Linked DNA regions of Drosophila melanogaster. The protein of the gene in region 1 interacts with the protein of each later gene in a pairwise test. Each region holds a gene or a part of one and is shown on either strand. Other genes may lie near its edges.

Region 1 (4,300 bases):
TCCATTGTTTGCTTGTGTACGCTCAGCGTATGTGTGTGGCATAATAAAATTTTATTGTAGCCAAAAGTTGGCTACCACTTTTTCCATGGCACCCGGGCAGTAGTTTTCCCCACCCCATTCCCGCTCACCCGTAATTGTGTGTACCCACCCGCGGAGAAAGTGGGTTCCTGTGGGGGGAGGTGGCCTAAACGCCCACATAGTTGGAAATTAGCGAGATGTGTGGGCGGACTCTTCTACCGCACGCGCAACAATGTCGCTTAGTCATCATGGCGGTTCTTTGATTTCGATTCGCCAGTTACTTTTGGCTGGCAATTTAATGGCATACTTTTGGGCAGGGAAATGGCATCGAAGTTCGAACTTCGAACTTCTTAGATCTGTATAGTAAATAAGCTACCTACATGCCCAGCCATGAAACGAGTTCCTCACTCACATATGACACCACGCTTTTACTTTCAAGTGCACTTTATTTTGAAGCCTTGCAGTACTAGAACTAATAGCCTACTCTAAGGCCCCACATGGACCCACCTAGCGGCATTCCAAGAGCGCCCGACACTAGGCAACGACCTGTGAGATTAGGCTATCCTCAGCGGATCCGGTTGCGGGAACTTTGGATGTTCTTCAGCTGCTTTTCCACTTCCCGCAAGTACTTCTCCGGTAGGCAATTGTCGCGCATAGCCGCGATCTTGGCGTTAATCACCTGCTGGATGTTAACGTCCCGCTGCTTCTCATGGTCGAGCCACTTCTGCACCCTTCCGGCTTCCAGCTCGGCCAGACGGCGACGCTCCGCCTGTTTGTCTGTCATCTGTTGGCGCAAGTCCTGGCGGTAAGCCTGCCGCTGAGCGTCCCGCTGACGATCCATGACCTTCTGCTTCTCCTCCTCCTCGCGCATGCGATCCATGACCTTGGCGAACTCCTCCCCGGCGTGGGCGATCTCCAGAGCAAGGCGCTGCTTCATCTCCTGGGCCTGCTGCGCCCGTGCCTCGAGCAGGTCCCGCTCTGCCTCCCGCCGCGCTATGGCTGCTTCCTTCTCCCGCTGGCGATACTCGCGCTCCACGCGGTCTCGCTCCTTTAGATACTTCAGCTCGTCGTTGGTCTGGCGCGTCTCCATGGCTTCGGCAGCTACCGTAAAGATGCGCTGCTGGCGGCGCTCGAACTCCTTTTTGGCCAGTCGTTTCATTTCCTTAAGCTGGCGCTCCTTCTCCTGCTTATCGCGCATGTAGGCGGTTACCCGCAGGTCAGCCAATCGCTCCTGTTCGCTGAACATCGTCTTGAAGACGTTGGACATGTCCCGGATGCGCTGGAGCTCCTCCCGGAGCCTTTGCTTGCGCAGTTGGGCAAAGGCCCGCTGCTGCTCCTCCTGGCTGCGCAGGAGCTCGGTGGCGCGACGAATATCCTTGGCCTCGTCGGCCACCCGCTTGGCTTCCAAGTAGCGCACGTTCTCGCGCTCTGAGAGCTGCTGCCGGATCTCCTGGGCATAGCGGTTCCGCTTCTCCACCTCCAGTCGCTCGCGCTCATCCTCTTCGGTCAGCGCTTTCTGGGCCCGTTCGTTGACCATACGTGCCAGTCGCTCATCGTCCTCGCGCAGCGCCTTGGATAAGAGGTGCTTCTCATGGATCTGCGCTTCCCGCACAGCTTTGCATTTTGCGTCGAGAATCATGCGGTTGATCTGCTTCACCTCCTGTTCCTGCTCTTGACGGGCAAGAAAGGCGCGACTTAACACGGACTCCTTTTCCTCGAGGATCTCGCTGAGCAGGGTGCTTCTGCTTTCGGAAGCGCCAACCCCCTTGGCTTCATCGATGGCCTTGAATCGTTGTCGCGTCTCCTCAACCATTTGCAGCTGCTTGCGGTGCTCCTCTTCGTGCTGCTCAATCCTCTGCAGCTTCTCGCTCACGGTTTCTAGTTTTCCCTGATCCTTGAGACGGCGAAGCTCCCCGGCTCGGAGCACCACTTGTTTTGTGCCCTGATTGCGTTTTCGATCGCGTTCATTGCGCTTTAGTTGCTTCTGGTCATAGGCCGCCGACTGGTCACAAAGTGGTCTCCTGAAGGACCCGAAAGATGTGGCGGTTGGGTGGAAGCCACAAGCAGGCGGGCGATAGGCTGCCGTTTGGGCTCGTGCCCTGGCTCTTAGCTCATTGCACTTTTTCTGCACCTGAGATTCTGCACTGACGAATCGCACATTGGAGGCGGAAAAGCAGGGCATCCTTTTTAAAGTAAGCTTGTTAATAAGGCCTAAAAAACCGGGACTGGGAAGTATATCCTGGAGCAGAATTTGAGCTTCATTGAGTGATACCAAGATTGGAAACTTTATTCGATTCGCGTTGCTGGGACAATTTGTTTGGGTAGCAAGCGGTGGTAACCTTGGAGGCCACCAAGTAACCATGCAACAACCTATAACGTGCGAAACTATCCAAAAAACACATTGTTGGCTCTGTAGGTAGAGTTCAGTGCCAAAATACAGATAGCTGTGTGTAGGCATCCGTCTGCTCAGAATTGAAATACGCTTTTGCCGGAAGCTTTTCTCTTGATTTGTTCTGACGGTTACAGCGCACCCAACCACTCTTATCTTCCCTGCCCACTGGGCGAGCATTTAAACAGTCCCCATCCTCGTCCTCGTGCTAGGACCCGGACATCAAAAATGCAACCAAGCATAAATTTCGGGGCTCTGCGGCGGCCCCCATTGATTTATGCGCCTTGTCCAAGGACAAACATGCTTAGTCCCACCCAAATCGGTCCCTTCCTGACCAGTCCGGTACAACCCAGTCCATCCCGCTTCAATGATGTGTGCGAATGTGTGAAAGAAGTCAGCAATTATGCGACATAGAAAAGCAATAAGCCAACAAAATTCACACATTTTGGTCGGAACCCAGAACTGGACATTTGAGATACTGGGGGAACTCTCCGGCCCGCACCCAACTGTCCAAATCTCCGTGGCGGCAGCATCCATCCATTCATCCATCTATCCTCACCGCCCACTGGCCAGTGCGTTGGAAAGTCTAAGCTGGCAAAACTTTACGGCCACACATACAAATTAACTTGACCAAAGCAACAGACAGAGCCGAGAACCACGCCCACATTGTCAAACACACACACCCGGACATTAGGAGTAGGGGACGTGGAAAGAGGATGGCTGAGGGAACGTGGAGGACTAGGGCTAGTTTCTGGGAGCATTGAAATTCGAAACCGAAACGAGTTCCACCCATTTCAGCTGACTTTAATAAAAAGTTTTCTTTTTCCCCGTTGCACACACAAAAACTTTCTCCTATATGGAATGCCTTCGCATTTCCCTTGGCCACCGCCTCCATCTGGGCCTTCTAGTTGGATGCATTGAGGCGTTAAAGTCAACTTAAGCTGGCTGGGGCCGTATTGCCTCTCTGGGGAAAATGCGTTACCAACCAGTCCGCAAATGTAAATTGACATTTTCGAGTGCACGATTGAGCAAATGAACGTTTTTTTCCCCCACCCCGACTCCAGTGTCCTGGGTAATGGCAGTCAAGTCGTTGGATTAGCACCGTGAGTCTCCCAAGGAGACGGATCGGGGAGCCCGAGATGTGGCCATGGAGAGGTCATGCATGGGCTGCTTGATTATATGCAAAAGCATTATTAGCCGGGCCACGAAGCGAGTGGAGAAAGGACAGCTGGAGGACATCATTAGCATTCCTAAGTCCGAGCTCAGGCTATAATTTATGCGCTTAAGTTGTGTTCCGGTTAAGTTTAGTCCGCCCTTCCAGCACGCCTCCTTCGTTAATTAAACCTGATGTAAGTCGGGATGTGGCCAGGGATTAGGTATTAGATTATGTATTAGAGAGCTGTAGCCTCTCTTTTTCTCTCCTATTCTCTATTTCTCTCTCCAATATTCTTTTATCTCTGTCCTTGCAGGTGAGTCTCGGCATGCGGTCCCAGAATGTAACTTATAAGTATTATGAAGGGTAAGCAGGCCTCGGTTCTTTGATGCCACCCAAAATGCAGGAAAGACAAATGTTGCTTCTTGGGAAAATCTGGCAAAATCGTCTCGCATCCGGACGGAGACGGAAACTGAAATTGACAGCGCTCAGACTTGAGCACAAAACTTTCCCTGCTCCAACATGCACTTTCCAGCGTCATGTTGGCGCAGACATGTCGAGGAGGATGGAGGTGGGCTGGAGAAGAACCCAAAGGCCCCATTACAAAGGCTTGAGGCCTTCAAATGCCTTTTGGCATATGATTCATTTGTGGTCCGTCGGGGAAACTTTTCCAGCAGACGCATATATATACATCCACTCGCCAGTGTTGACTTATTTGCATAATTTACGGGGGAATGGGG
Region 2 (4,243 bases), on another chromosome or scaffold:
AGATACGAGAAATGACGCGAGTGCTGGCTGATCTAGGTTCCATTTCCTTTCAACCGAAATCAAGTATCACGTAATCATATACCAACTCCTTACAGATTCGCGAAACATTTTCCGGTGGCACAAGGAGCCGATTCAGGAATACGTGCCCTTCGATCCCGACACGCCGGACCAGAGTGCCAGCGCCAGGAATCCGAAAAAGTTCGACAGCTTATATGACCCGCAAGGCGGTATGGCCTTCCGCGCCCTGCACTTCCTGGACACGCAGATCTTCGTGGACGGACGCAACCGCAAGGCCAAGGAGGCTCTCCAGCACCTGGATGAGGTGGCCGTGCAGCTGGAGCAGTCTCTGGGAGAGGCAGCCACCGTTGCCGTTGCCAGCTCACTGCCTACAAAAGCAGCCGACCTTTGACCAAAGCGGCAGCTAGAGCAGGATCTGGCCCTGCTCATGATGGCAGTGGCGATGGAGGAACAGTAAGGCCGCCCGCTTGTACACATTCAACCTGCAGACCATTTCATCAGTGCTAGTTATGATCAAATCGCGTGTTACCATTTCGTACTTTAAGTATAAAAGTCAATAGTATTCTATAACTATTGGACGTTTGTAGTTATATTTATTAATTTTTATTGTTACCGCAGACAAACAACTAAAGAGATGCAAAACAGTGTACAAGATGAGTGTATAAAGTGATGGATGGGTTTACTCCTGGCAGACGAGGTCCTGCAGCTGGCGCAGTTCCTCTCCAGGGGGTAGCAGATCGTCCAGATAGTCGCAAAACGACAAACAGATGGCGTACAGACTGCGTCGCACTGCGCATCGAAGCACGTTAAAGCTAGAGCTGGATATCCTTATGTTGCCTATCACGCTACTTAGCTTATCTAGCTCATTTCGCAGCTTGTTGATCGCCTTGATGATAGCAGGCAAATCGTTCTGCACTACTCCATATGGATCCTCTTTGAGCGAGGCTGCGCACACCTGAGCCAGAGCCTGAGTCATATACACTACGGGCAGGGAGTTGGCCAGCAGAAACGTCGTCTTGGCACCTTCGGGTTCGTTGAATAAGTACACAATGCCGGGAACGCGCTGTAGCAACCGTTGTAGGGACTGCTCCAACTGCGTGGATACACGCTCACACCAGTTGGGAAAATGACGGATGCCATCCGCTGGACTTTCAACAGCAACCTCGCGACTGGGCGATACAATGGGTCGAATGCCGTGTTTCTGGTTGTATTGCCGCAGCAACACCTTCTCGGCCATCAAGCTAGTTGTAAGCGATTCGGTTATCTTCGGCATCGGCAGACTCTGGGCGCACTTGAGTATACTTATCTTCTGCATCGACTCGGTTAGTTCTTCGGTAAAGCTGCCGAGAATGCTCAAGCATTGGTCGCAGAGGGAGCGCCAACTTGCTGGCCGGTTACCCGGCTCAGTCAGCTGGAATATCTCTGCCCGTTGTGGCGAGTTCTTTCGCAACGCCAGCTTGTAGAAATGATGAGCAGCAAGGCACTGCACTACATACACATTGAAAACTCCGAGACCCGCTACCAAGGTTATATCCTGTTCATGGGCAAAAGCAGCTCGCGGTTTAGTCACCACCAGTGGCAAATCCTCCGAGAGCAGAATGCCGTAAAAGCAACGCATTAGGTGCATGTTGCTCAAAATCTGTGCGGTCAGCAAATAGCCGTAAAAAAGCAGGCGCACATTGGTAACAACTCCGAAGAATCCATCCAGTCGCTCGTCCATGTCCACAGAGAGAATGTGACTAAGTCTGTGGCATACCATGGGTCCGAAAAGACAAAATACGGCGGTGTAACTGATCGTAGGCAGCAGCGAACTTAATAGAGATTTGGCCAAACTGGCGTAGAGCAGCTCTCGCATCTTCTCCGCCCGCGATTGCTCCACAATGGGAAATTCAATGGAGATCTCCTTGCGCATGTGAACGGAGACAAAGTAGTAGCAGCCGGCGGTCATACCGATGCCTAATAGATAGACATTGTAAGCACTAATGCAATCCTGGCCATAGCACTTATATTTCAGGTGTCTGGAAATAAAAGGAATCATAGGTATTGACCGAATTCAAACCAACTGTAGGTATACTTACTGATAGTCTGTGTGCAGATAGCCCGTGTAGAGCCAGGCGGTCAGCAGACCGACCAGAAGGTGGGCGAACAGAAAGAGCACCTTGCGTGGACCGTAGTGCAGGAGCCACCGGTAGCGGGTTGGGCAGTAGCGTCGCTCCGACAAGTGCTGCTGGCAAAGAATCACACCGTAGAGCACGACGGAGGCCACCAGAGGGATGCTGGCAAACCAGGTGTACCAACTGGCTACCAGACGCAGTGTTCCCGTCACCCAGGCGAGCGGATGCAACAGTTGGAAGTTCACAAACAGCAGGAACACTGTGAGCAGCAGGAATTGGATGGCCACGCTGAGGAGCACGGCGCGCAGGCAGCGGCCGAGCAGCAAGAGCTTGCAAGCGTTGCTGGAGGAGCTAGCAGACATGTTTGCGCTCCGAACTGCTAGACCATCGAGGTATCACCAATAATTTGATTTAATTCTATAGTTTTCTAATTGATTTCGCGACTAATTGCAAATATTCGACGGTTGCCGACAACGCGCGCGTTGTTGCACTTTTAAGTGTGACCGCATGCGGAAAGTGGAGCTGCCCGTAATCGATAACTCATTTGATGTTCGTAGTGAGAAACCCTAATGGAAAACGGTTTTTTGAAATTTATCTTTTTAATTACAAAGCACAATTTTGTAAATCTAGAAAGTTCACCATTAAAATGGCTCATAAAAACGTATGACTAAATTAGTATATCTTCAATTTTCGACCTAATTTAAGTTTTAGTTCTCCTTATGCTTCGGTCTCAGGTAGCACTGGAAATAAAAGTTGGCGAACATGATAAACATGATGGTCGCGGAGCAGCTGACCAGAAAGAGGGTTCCCTGCGATGCAGTGCACTGCCGCTGCATGGCGGTTAAGGCGCAATGGCCAAACATGAGGAGGAACTGCAGCATTTGCATGAGGGTCAAGTACCGCTTCCAACGCACCGTATTGCCCTTGATGGCCGAATAGTAATAGGCATACATGAAGATATGAACGAATACATTGAAGGAGCACAGGAAGAAGAGTTGACCTCCGTAGCCATAGAATCGTATTATCAAGTATCCGGCGGATGGCATCAGGACGTGGTGGAAAACGTGCAAAAACGTTATTTGCGAGTACTTCTTGCGCAGCACGCAGAACACGGTGTCAAGCAGGTCAACGATCTTGTTTATGTAGTAAGCATAGCTGATGCAGCGCTCCCAGTTCTTCAGCGGATGATCCTGCTGCAGGACAGTCATGCAGCGAAAGTTGTACGGTTGGAATACCAACATGAAGTAGTATCCCTACGGAAGAAGCTTTTATCAATTGAAGAAAAGAATGTAGGCTCAAAATTTCAACTCACGGGCAGGAGCATCATTATATTGTAGAATATCTGGAACATGTTATAGTACTTAAGCACTTTTCGCAGATTATAAGGTTCTCGATGCTCCATGAACTTCCTGCCGGCCTTAAAAACTACCAGAAGGTATCCAATGAGGATAATTATGATGGGACCGGGTCCAGTTGCCAACGGCAGCTGTTTGGAGTCCGCATAGGGCGTCCTAAATATTTCCAACATTTCTGTTACCTAATTATTGTGTACTTTTCAATTTGACAAATAAAACAACTGATGAACCGCCTTGCTGTCACGTGTTTTCTAATGAAAGCCTAAAAATATTGTATGCTTACTTCTTAATTGAGTAATTTCCCTAGGCAAGTTAGATTGATTTGTGTGCAATACCAAATTAAATAAACTTAAATAAATTTAATTGCCACTGTTATTTGGAAACAGCCTTGCCATACCGTTGGCTGATCGATAAGTCCGATATCGATTCTAGAATCGATGATATAATCTGGCATCACCGAACTATCGATTGCTCAGGTCGTAGCTTTGGCATTTTACAGACGTCCGCCTTCGGTCACATCACATTTTGTTGTTGTCGCGGTCGGAAAAGTGCACGGAGTTACGGTCGTCGATTCGTCGATTTTCCGTTAAATACAGCATACAAATTCCAAAACAAATGTGCGCACTCGCCGCCGCCGCAAACGCAGCGCAATAAGGTGTGTAATGTGTCCAATTGGCCGCAAATGAAAGTGAATAAAAGTCATAAAATTCGTGAAGTTGAAATAAAAAAAAAAATATAAATTTTGTGTGCGCGTTT
Region 3 (4,953 bases), on another chromosome or scaffold:
TTCAATCCGGCAGATACATAACCATTCTTGTTTCAGACTCCGATTGACACAACTGAATGACGAGATTGGACCCAACGACGAGTACAATGGCGAAGATGAGACGTACAAGAACGTAATGAAGGACTTCTCCAAGTTACCAGCCAGCCAGACGCGAGTTCTGCGCCAGCGGCACGACTCAAATACACTCGAATCGCAGCGCAGCTCGCTTACAAACTCCGACTAGCAGTGGCAGAAGGGCCGCAAGAGTTAGGACCTTACTGGATATTATGGAATAATTTGTTCCAATTATTAGGATAGCGTGATATTGGATTGTTATTGGCTTTATAACGCATTAACCAGGAATGTTAAACGGTTTCGACCTCTAAGGATGTCGTTGCGGGCTTGTTTCCCTTGGTAATCTCATTTGAAAAGCGCTTCCGATTATACAAGAAAATATTATTCATTGCATTTGGCATTCGAATGGCAGGCACGATCGTTCGTTTTCTCTTAGGCGCATTTTGAATCCGTTTTTGGCGATTAGCTTAAGTTTAAAGTATTCGTAGAGCAGTTGAGTTTATTAAAAATACGTATATTTGCCTATAAAATTGTACATCGTCTTATGTGGTATTTATTAAACGATATTGTAAAATGTACGTCTAGCTATATGTATCTTGTTACAGAGCTGTTCCAAATGTTCCGATTTGTATTTGTTTGCTAAACTGTTTAATGCTGCATGTTTCTAAATGTTTTAACGCTATCATGTTGATGATTTTTGGTGCCAACTGTTGTGAGCACTCTAGGTTCGCGAATAAAGTTGTAAAATATTCAGATCAATCAAAGTTGGTCTCTTCAGGTGTAAAACATGGTGGTCCAATCTGCGGTGTATTGGTAAAACATGTCCAGGGACTATTCTAGGCCACAGCTTGAAACTCGTTCGTCTCGGATATGTAGTCTGTGAGCTTGTTCTTCACCTTGTGCATTGTGGTTACATGTCTCTGGACCGCACTGCGATCGTTAAACTGACGGCCGCACTGTTTGCAGGAGAACATGACGCCAGCGTGGGTGACCAGATGGCGACTGAGGCCCGAAACATGATTGAAGCTACGATGACACAGATGACACTTGTGCGTCCGAGAGTTGCCCATATGCACGCGGCCAATGTGCTGCTGCAGGTTGGACTTCTGGGCAAAGCAGCTCGAGCATTGGGGGCACTGATGGCGCTTTACTCCCGTATGGGTGTCCATGTGACGCTTGAGCACTTCGCGCTGGGAGAAGGACAGTTCGCACTCGCTGCACTTGAAGGGTTTCAGGCCCGTGTGGATAATCATGTGGCGTTTGAGCGAGCTGGCGCACGACAGTTGCAGTGCGCAGCTGGGACACTTGAGCGTGCCGCCCTTTCCACTTTTCAGTCCCTTAATGTGGGTGTTGTGGTGGCGCGTCAGAAGTTTCTGCGTAGGAAATGCCACCGGGCACAAATGGCACTGGAACGACTTCACCGTGTCCGTAATTCGACCGGTTTTTGGTTGAGGACAACTGGACTCCTGCTTGAACACCAACTCACTCGATCTCTTTCGTTTGAGGGGCGTCTGCTCATCTCTATCGTTCTGTTCTTTTTCCTACAGATAATAAGATCCAAGTTGAATTCGAGTTCAATTTAAAATCACACGGTTAGTTACCACTATAATGACATTTTCATGGAAGCTGAAGACCTGTTGCTCCTGAGATATCTCCTCGCCCAGATTAAACACGACCACGTCTTCGATTTCCTCTGGCTTTTCGCCACTGAACTGAATTTCGCCGTCTTCTTTGACTAAGCAAAGAATTTAATGAAATGAAAATTTTTTCACATTTTTTTTGCCAAATTATACCCACTTACTGTTATAGGAGGTGATTCCGTTGTCCTGGTCAAATTCGGGAGTGGAGTCCTGGTTTTGATCCTCTGAGCTGGCAGAGTTTATGATGTAAATCTCTCCATTGTCTGTGTGCACTACATCTGATCCAACCATGTTGATTTCCCTGAAGTCTTCACCGCTTTCCGCGGGCACTTCCTCGTCCAGTTCGAGGCCATCTATGTTTACATCGCTATTATTTGCGGGGTCGGTATTGCAGCCCAATATGAATTCCTCTTCTTTTGCATCCTTCCTGGCCTCTGTCGCCTTTAGATTGGCGTCGACCAAGCTGGGTCGTCGCTTTGGAAGAGCTTTAGTTTTTGACCTAGAAGGGGAGGCATCTTCCTTGACTTGCGGCTTGGTCTCTGGTTCGGACCCATCCAAAGACTCCCACCGACCGGCCTTTTTCTCGGTAAGATACACCTCCAATTCGCCCAACAGCATGGCCAGCTGCTCTTTTCTTATGTCCTCGCTCACCTCGTTTCGCAGGTCATCTCTAACCTGGCTGCGCACCTCCTCGGCCAGCTCCTTGCGAACCTCACTGCGCACCTCCTCCGCTAGTTCCTTGCGCAGTTCGGTGGTCAGTTTCGCTCGAAGTTCTAGACGAGATTTGACCAGCCGTTTGTGCATTTCCGCCGCCTGTTCTTCCTTAAAATCTTCTCGCCACTTTTCGTCCTCAAGCTTGCGCACTTTGTCCTGCACCTCGATGAAGGCAATAGAGTCCTCGAACTCCAGCTCGTCCTCGTCATAATCGTCCGGATCCTTGGAGAAGACGCGGCTTCGCTTCCCGAGACCCAGAAGTCGGATATGCTTGCGAAGCTTCTTCTCCGCCCATTGGCAGCGCTGCCGGAACAGGAATGACTTCTCCAGCTGATAGCGGCACTCCTGGCAGATCCTCTTCGGCAGAGTATCCGTCGCCTTGGCGTCCAGTGCGACGCAGGCCATCAGGCGCACGGGTATCGAGAGCTGGGTGTCGTCCTCGTCGAAGATCGCGTACGCATCCTGGTGCTCCTTGAGGCAAAGGCGGCACAGGGTCGCCAAATCGGGATACGACGGCTGTGCATCCATGAAGGCGTCTATTTTTGGTAAATCAACGTATTTACTCGGTGGCGTCTCTGCATCGCAAGCAATGTGACCGCAGACAGGTTCGCTAAAAATACCTCCTCTCGAAACGAAAGCAATACAGTCACACTGTTCGTAAATAAACAATTTGATATATACGGCCCATAAACGTATCATAACTTAATTTATTAATGTAAGGTTTAAAGGTATTGATTTTCATACAAATCCAATGCATACCGAATGTGCATATTTAAAGTTTAATAGAATACAATGACAATTAAAATAGGTGATGGCTTAGTCAAATATGCGTGCACAAAAAAAGGTACTATTCTTATAATATAGAGGATTAAACTAAATTCGTTGTTACGTGGCTACGTCACGGTGTTATTTAGCTTATCCGCTCCTCTTAGACGACAGCGCACACAACTTTTGAAATCGGCGTACGAACTGCTGCATTTTGTCTTGAAGGAACTGTGCTTTCGGCACAGGTTATCGGTCGTCTGCTTGGGGCTCATAAAGCGCACTTTCTTTCGACACGGCGATGGGGTTTTTACATCCTCTAAGGCAGTTGTGTTGGCACCCAGAAAGGTGTCCTTGCTATAGTCGTTGCGCAGATGACTCAGCTGCGGGTCGTTCATGTTGATCTCAACCATGGGCACAGCAACTAGTGGCGTTGCAGCTGGCTGTCTGCTGGCTTCTGGTTCATCGTCTATTACATTTGAGAAATATATAAGTCGTGCAATTGCAAAGTAAGTGGGCTGGTCTTACCCAGTAACTCCACCACGCTGTTATCGCTCTGCTCCCTTAGCTCCTGGCCCATGTCTGTTTCGTAGAAGCCAGCGGTCTGTTCGTCAGGCAGCGGACTGCTTAAGTTCATCTTCATCTCATAGGTCGCCTCATTGCGCTTGCGCACAAAGTACCGTTCCAGTTCGACAAACACGTCGTCCAGAACGCTCAGTCGCAACTGCTGCTTGGCTTCGGGTATGATGACCTCTTCGAGTTCCGCCCGCAGCTCCAGCTCGATTTCCGCCCGCACAGCTTGCTTGCAAGTGCTGAGCAGCTCCTTTTTATACGCGTCGATCTCGCTGCTAATGAGCTGGGCGGCCTGCTGGCGCCACTGGGCATTGTTCTCGGCGCAGCCAGTTTGCGTGCATCCTTCCCCGGAGCCCCGCTCCTCCTCCACTTCACTCAGCTGCGACTTGACACCCTGCCGCTGCAACGCCTTGTGGCGCCTCAATTTGCGATCGGCTGCGAGGCAGCGTCGTCGGAAGCAGTGCATCTCCTCCAGTTGCAGCCGACACATGGTGCATATGTGCTGTGGCAGACCGTCGCCGGGCTCGATCTCCAGCGATGTGCAGACCATTATCTGCAGAGCAGTCGATCCATTTGCACCGAAAACGGGGAAATTGGGTTCCTTCGACAAGCACAGGCGACAAACATTCATGTTGAATTTCAAGGCAATTCGGAGCGTGGCAGCCGGACACCTGATTAGGCACGATTCGGAATGATGGACAATCTAGCAATCTTTCCAAGCAACCAGTTTAGAATATGAAACAAAAAAACATTTGAAGACAAATAACTAAAATTGGAAGCGGAGGAATTTCCTACTAGGAAACATCAACAAGTCTAGCCGATTTGTTATCGATATTTTCAGTGTGGCCATGCGGTTGAGAGAATGCATTTTAGTATTTCAAGGCTGGCTGCTCTGCCATTGATGTGCCCGTATTTCAGCAAGGCGCTTGGCGGGAGAATTTCAAATAGTCAAAATTTTACAACGATACTATAGCGCTCATTTGAATAACCTGAAATGCAGCAATAACACACATTCATTTATCAAACAATTTCTTTATATTTCATTAAATATTAAGTATAAATACGCAGTTAACTATTAAGTATTATATACACAATTACAATAAGATATTCAGTCACTATAATGCTTCTTCTATATACAAAGTACGATATATATTATATCAAAGGGCTTGAACTCGCCGCCGCACCTCAATAAATTATGCAATTCAATTCC
Region 4 (4,638 bases), on another chromosome or scaffold:
CATACACATAAATCGCCTGCGAAGTGACCCTTGGCAATGGCGAAGGTAATTGCGTACTTACCGCTCTCAGCGGAACCTGAACCTAACCAAAACCAAGCGAACCGTAAGGTGGATTCGTATTCCCTCGATTGCGTGCCCGTTTCGGGAATAGATTTATCGTCTCGTTTGAAATCCGCACTTTATTTATGGTAGCTTGGCCACATTTCTTTGCGGATCTCCCACTCCAATACTTATTATTTATTATTCTATCAAACGTTACGTTACACTGTCAGCACCAGCACAATTCACTACGCGCACTTCGAGGCGATTACGAGATTTCGAGGCGATCAAGATCCGAGAGCGCTGGTCGAGAGGCACTACCGTACGGGGCGAACTCAAGAAAGAATCTGCAGCGGTGCAGTTGCTCTGAAGATTTCGGAGAAGACCTTCTTCGTATCGGACAACGTGCAACTTGTTGCACGCAACATGTTGGTCTGAGACGACTGCTAATACAAAATGTTCAAATACCTTACTTGATATTTTATTTATATATTAAGTAAACCTACTTTAAATAGGTTTAACATAACTTAACTTTAAGAAGTTTTTTATAGAGCAGAAAACTTTCTTTAATATCTTATGAAAAATAATATCTTCACAAAGTCATACGATCTCGAAGAAAACCGTTTCAGATTTGGCCTTTTATTAAAAACCACTAAGCTACATTTTGGCAGACAATAGTCAGATGACTTAAACTATACAGATTCATTAACACCAATGGATTCTATGTTGACCTGAACGACTAAAACAGCCTTGACCTACAAAACTTTTCCGACCTATCAACTAAGCTTATTAAACATGTAAATATGTTGTTCTATTCCTCGGGACGAGTCTCGCTGTAGAAGCCCAGATTCATTGTGGGAATCATGTTGCTGTAGAACGACAGTTCCGCTGCCGAGGGACGCACTAGCTGGGGATCCTGAACTAGCGGAGCCGTCATAGCCACTGGAGCCTTTTCGGCCATTTTTAGGGGTAAAATAGCAGCCTCTTGAGCCCGCTGGGCCATCTTGTGCTGCAACTGATGGACTTTGAGGTGATTCTCCAGCTCAATTTGATGCAGGAAGCTAATGCAACAGATTCCGCACGTAAAGCTGGGACCATGAGCCTCTAGCTCATGGCGCTGCAGTTGCTCGCGTCGGTTGAAACCTTGATTACATGTCTTGCAGGCGAACAGCGAGTCCATGTGAAGAGCTTGATGGCGTTGCAGGTCCCTCTCCCGTTGGAAAGTTCGATCGCAGACATCACAGTGGTAATAGCGTGAGTTTTTGGTTTGTGCGGCAGCCTTTTGTTTAGCCTGCAACGCCTGCTGCTGCAGATCACCCTCCATCGGGGGAATTAGACCCATTTGCTGCTGCTGCTCCATGTCCCGCCTGGTATGGACTTGCTGGTGGGCTATTAGCTTATCCCTGCGCGAAAACGAGTAGGGACAGCGTCCACATTGGAAAGCCTTTACCTCTCCGTGCGAACGTGTGTGGCGCATCATTTCCACAGCCGTCTGGAAGGATCGCGGACACTGCTGGCAAACAAAGGGCTTGACACCGCTATGAATGCGCATGTGCTTGGTCAGATTTGTATTCCGCGAGAAACTCTTGGAGCAAACGTTGCATGTGAAGGGCCTCACGCCAGTGTGCACGATTGTGTGCTTTTTAAGATCGGAGCGGCGCACAAAACCCTTCCGACAGTGAGCACACACATACGGACGGTCCGGATCATGCAGTGTCTTTATGTGCGAAATCAAAGCAGGCCGGGTAACCAGCTTGATGTTGCAAAAGTTGCAGCAGTACGGTGCGTTGGGATCGTGTGCAGCCAGCTCGTGCTCTTGACACTCGGCGGGCAGAGTGAACCCAAGATCACAGTATTGACAGAGGAACGCTCGTTTTGGCCGTGCCTCCGTGGTGTTGGCGTTGTTGGCAACGGACTGTTGAGCCGCCATCTGGGCCGCATCCATGCCCAGTGGCATGTCGACGTCTTCGCCGTTCTGGCCATCTTCCTCGTCCTCCTCATCGTAGTCTTCCTCCTCCTCCTCATCATCGTCGTCATAGTTTTCGTACTCCCCATCGGAGCCGAGTGCGAATTCCTCTTCACTGCTCTCTGCCAGATTCTCTGGATCAACTTCCACAATAATGCAGCCCTCCTCGGGTACGAATACTCCGGGGTTGCCATTCAGGCCTGGACGGTGCTTCGGATGATCTTTAATCATCTCCTTCAGCTGCTCCTGCAGGGACTGTTCCCGCTCCTGCATTCCTTTTCGCAGCTCGAATGCCTCTTCGAGGATCTCCAGACACCTTGAGCAAATGAGCTCCGACAAACATTCGTTGCGATCGTACTGTAGGTGGAGAAGTTATTCATGCACTTTTTCCATGGATTATAAATGGCCCACTCACCTGAACGCTCCAGAGACTCTTGGAAACCTCTGCAATGGACACATCCTTGCAAAACTGCACGGTGTCATCGAAAATGTTTAGCGAGTTGGGATCCGTATTATGGTGGCACAGGCGACAAGTGCTCACATCCTGATCCTGGGTCATGCTGATATCCGATGTATGCATTCTTCAATCATATGCATTTAAGCCGGGATTGCAATAAATTATCCAATTGTTTAAGCAAACAAAAGCCACACCGGTAGCAAATAAAACGCGTTGGTCAATGGCCAATCTACCACGATAGTATCGATATGTCGCGAAATTAAACAACATGGTCCAATCGATTGTCGGAGGAAATCGATAAGCCGCTGCACAGTGGGTTACTTAATTGAATTATAGGAATTTTTGAATATTTGAAGTTTTTAAATTAAACAATTTTGTGTTTTATTAAAGTTCAGATTTGTACCTTTCCATTTTAAAATACTTTTACTAAAATTGTAACAAAGCCATATCTAATACGCAAAATAAACGTCAGCATCTTTGGTAGCAAAAACGAAACTACTTATGTGTAATTCTTTGGGGTTGAAGTTTGATGATGCTCAAATTCAATAAAACGCAGTTTCTTTCTACACATTAAAAATTTGTAAAGCTGTTTGCATAAAATATAAATTATAAGACTTATAAGGCTCGTGTCACACTTTTAAATCAGAAATGCACTTACGATTAAAGCAGTGGGCGGCAGGTACCTAATTGATGCGTACCTATGTAGGTACACGCCGTGAACACGCGAAGCGAGAGCTTTTTCAATTGCCCGCGGACTCTTGATTAAAGCGGAGGTATTTTTCGAGTGCCGGCACTCTTTCGGCGAAAGCGGATGATTGTTTAAAAATCTGTGCGTACGCGCGTATATTCCTTTAACTAATCGGGATTGATTGCTTGCGCGGTTATTGCTTAATTGCAGTGAGATTTTTGGTTCTATTGAAAGTGGCTAATGTTCGTTTAGTGGAATTTATTGCACTGCAGATGCTGCAAATTATACTAGAACACACACACACACATCGGCAAAACAACTGTTACGCCTACGCAGCAGCGGCAACAACAACAACAACAACAGCAGCAAGGGAATTAGCAGCAACAATTTTCCACCCATAGAGGGAAATAACTGTTCCGTGAGTTTATACAATTTGGGCTGTATTTGTTGTTTTCCACCCACGTACTTTTTGTCTTTATTATGCTCCTGCCGCTTCTCCTTCTTTCGCTCCTTTTCCCTACCCACCTCCCCTCTTCCACTTCTTTTCTCTCCCATGCGGTTAGTGTGTTATTCCCGTCCTTAAGGAATAAAAGCAACAGCAACCCCGTGTACATTTATTGTTCTCTCCCCCGATGCACGGAGAGAAATTTGATTTTGATGTGTAATCAGGTTCAATTTTATTATTTAGATTATATGCATAAAATGATGAACTGATTGGACCACATTGCTAAAGGAAACACAGGGTTTTTTTTTTACAATTTTGAATCAACTACTCCAAAAACATAAACACCGTATGAATGATGATCGCAAATTTCAATGGAATAGTTTTTTTTTTCTGTGTACCTATCATCCTGTTAACCCAAGCTTTGCCCTCGCACCCTGTAGTTCTCATGAGTGTTAAATTTTCTGCCACCAAGTCCCTGTTAATTTTTGGTTATTGGGATTCCTCACTTTTCACAGTTGCCGTTGCGCGTATGAAAATGAATTTGTGCATTTATAATTCATAAATAGGACTATAAAAAAGAGAATTTATAATTTCATGAATTTACCGAAATTGGGGTCTTTAAAATGCGTCTATTAGCCTATTTAGGTAGTGATTTGTAGTGAGTTAGTAGTGAGTAGAACGAAAGCACTCTAGCGTATGCACTATCTGCCCTAAAAAGTTTGAACATAAAGATAAAATATAATTGCTTAAGTGAAATAAGCGCAAAGATTGCATTCGAGCTTAATGGTCTGATTAAAGTCCCTAGAAGCAAATCTATATGATATCACCACACCGAATTAGTAAATATCCTTACCCTACGAGACTTCTGCTAACTTAATATTTACACTTGCATACAATTACCCCTAAACATAGGGAACATGCCATTTGCCGGCCACATGAGAGTGACTTCCAATTTTGTGTACAATGAAAAACAACTGAAGATTGCTGTCCTAAACATTCCACTCGGCAATTAAGTGCTCGGCAATGATCATTCGATGAGGAAA

What was found.
Region 2: the proteins of CG11449 (region 1) and Ndc1 interact in a two-hybrid assay, tested with the Drosophila melanogaster proteins (one large-scale study listed by BioGRID).
Region 3: the proteins of CG11449 (region 1) and CG31365 interact in a two-hybrid assay, tested with the Drosophila melanogaster proteins (one large-scale study listed by BioGRID).
Region 4: the proteins of CG11449 (region 1) and prg interact in a two-hybrid assay, tested with the Drosophila melanogaster proteins (one large-scale study listed by BioGRID).

The regions. Positions count from the first base shown.
Region 1 is NT_037436.4:22,452,273-22,456,572, reverse strand, and holds CG11449 (uncharacterized protein), read right to left. Parts: upstream 2,201-4,300; coding exon 584-2,200; downstream 1-583.
Region 2 is NT_033777.3:23,922,795-23,927,037, reverse strand, and holds Ndc1 (nuclear division cycle 1), read right to left. Parts: upstream 2,640-4,243; 5' UTR 2,495-2,639; coding exon 2,097-2,494; intron 2,037-2,096; coding exon 698-2,036; 3' UTR 602-697; downstream 1-601. Other genes in the region: CG13601 (uncharacterized protein), read left to right, coding at 1-36, 96-409; CG31141 (uncharacterized protein), read right to left, coding at 2,840-3,385, 3,445-3,660. UniProt on the Drosophila melanogaster protein: Component of the nuclear pore complex (NPC), which plays a key role in de novo assembly and insertion of NPC in the nuclear envelope.
Region 3 is NT_033777.3:23,123,407-23,128,359, forward strand, and holds CG31365 (uncharacterized protein), read right to left. Parts: upstream 3,017-4,953; 5' UTR 2,937-3,016; coding exon 1,856-2,936; intron 1,790-1,855; coding exon 1,656-1,789; intron 1,596-1,655; coding exon 891-1,595; 3' UTR 556-890; downstream 1-555. Other genes in the region: CenB1A (centaurin beta 1A), read left to right, coding at 37-223; CG31457 (uncharacterized protein), read right to left, coding at 3,302-3,639, 3,699-4,374.
Region 4 is NT_033779.5:8,462,557-8,467,194, reverse strand, and holds prg (piragua), read right to left. Parts: upstream 2,708-4,638; 5' UTR 2,586-2,707; coding exon 2,421-2,585; intron 2,363-2,420; coding exon 851-2,362; 3' UTR 501-850; downstream 1-500. UniProt on the Drosophila melanogaster protein: May be involved in transcriptional regulation. The function of this protein is unclear.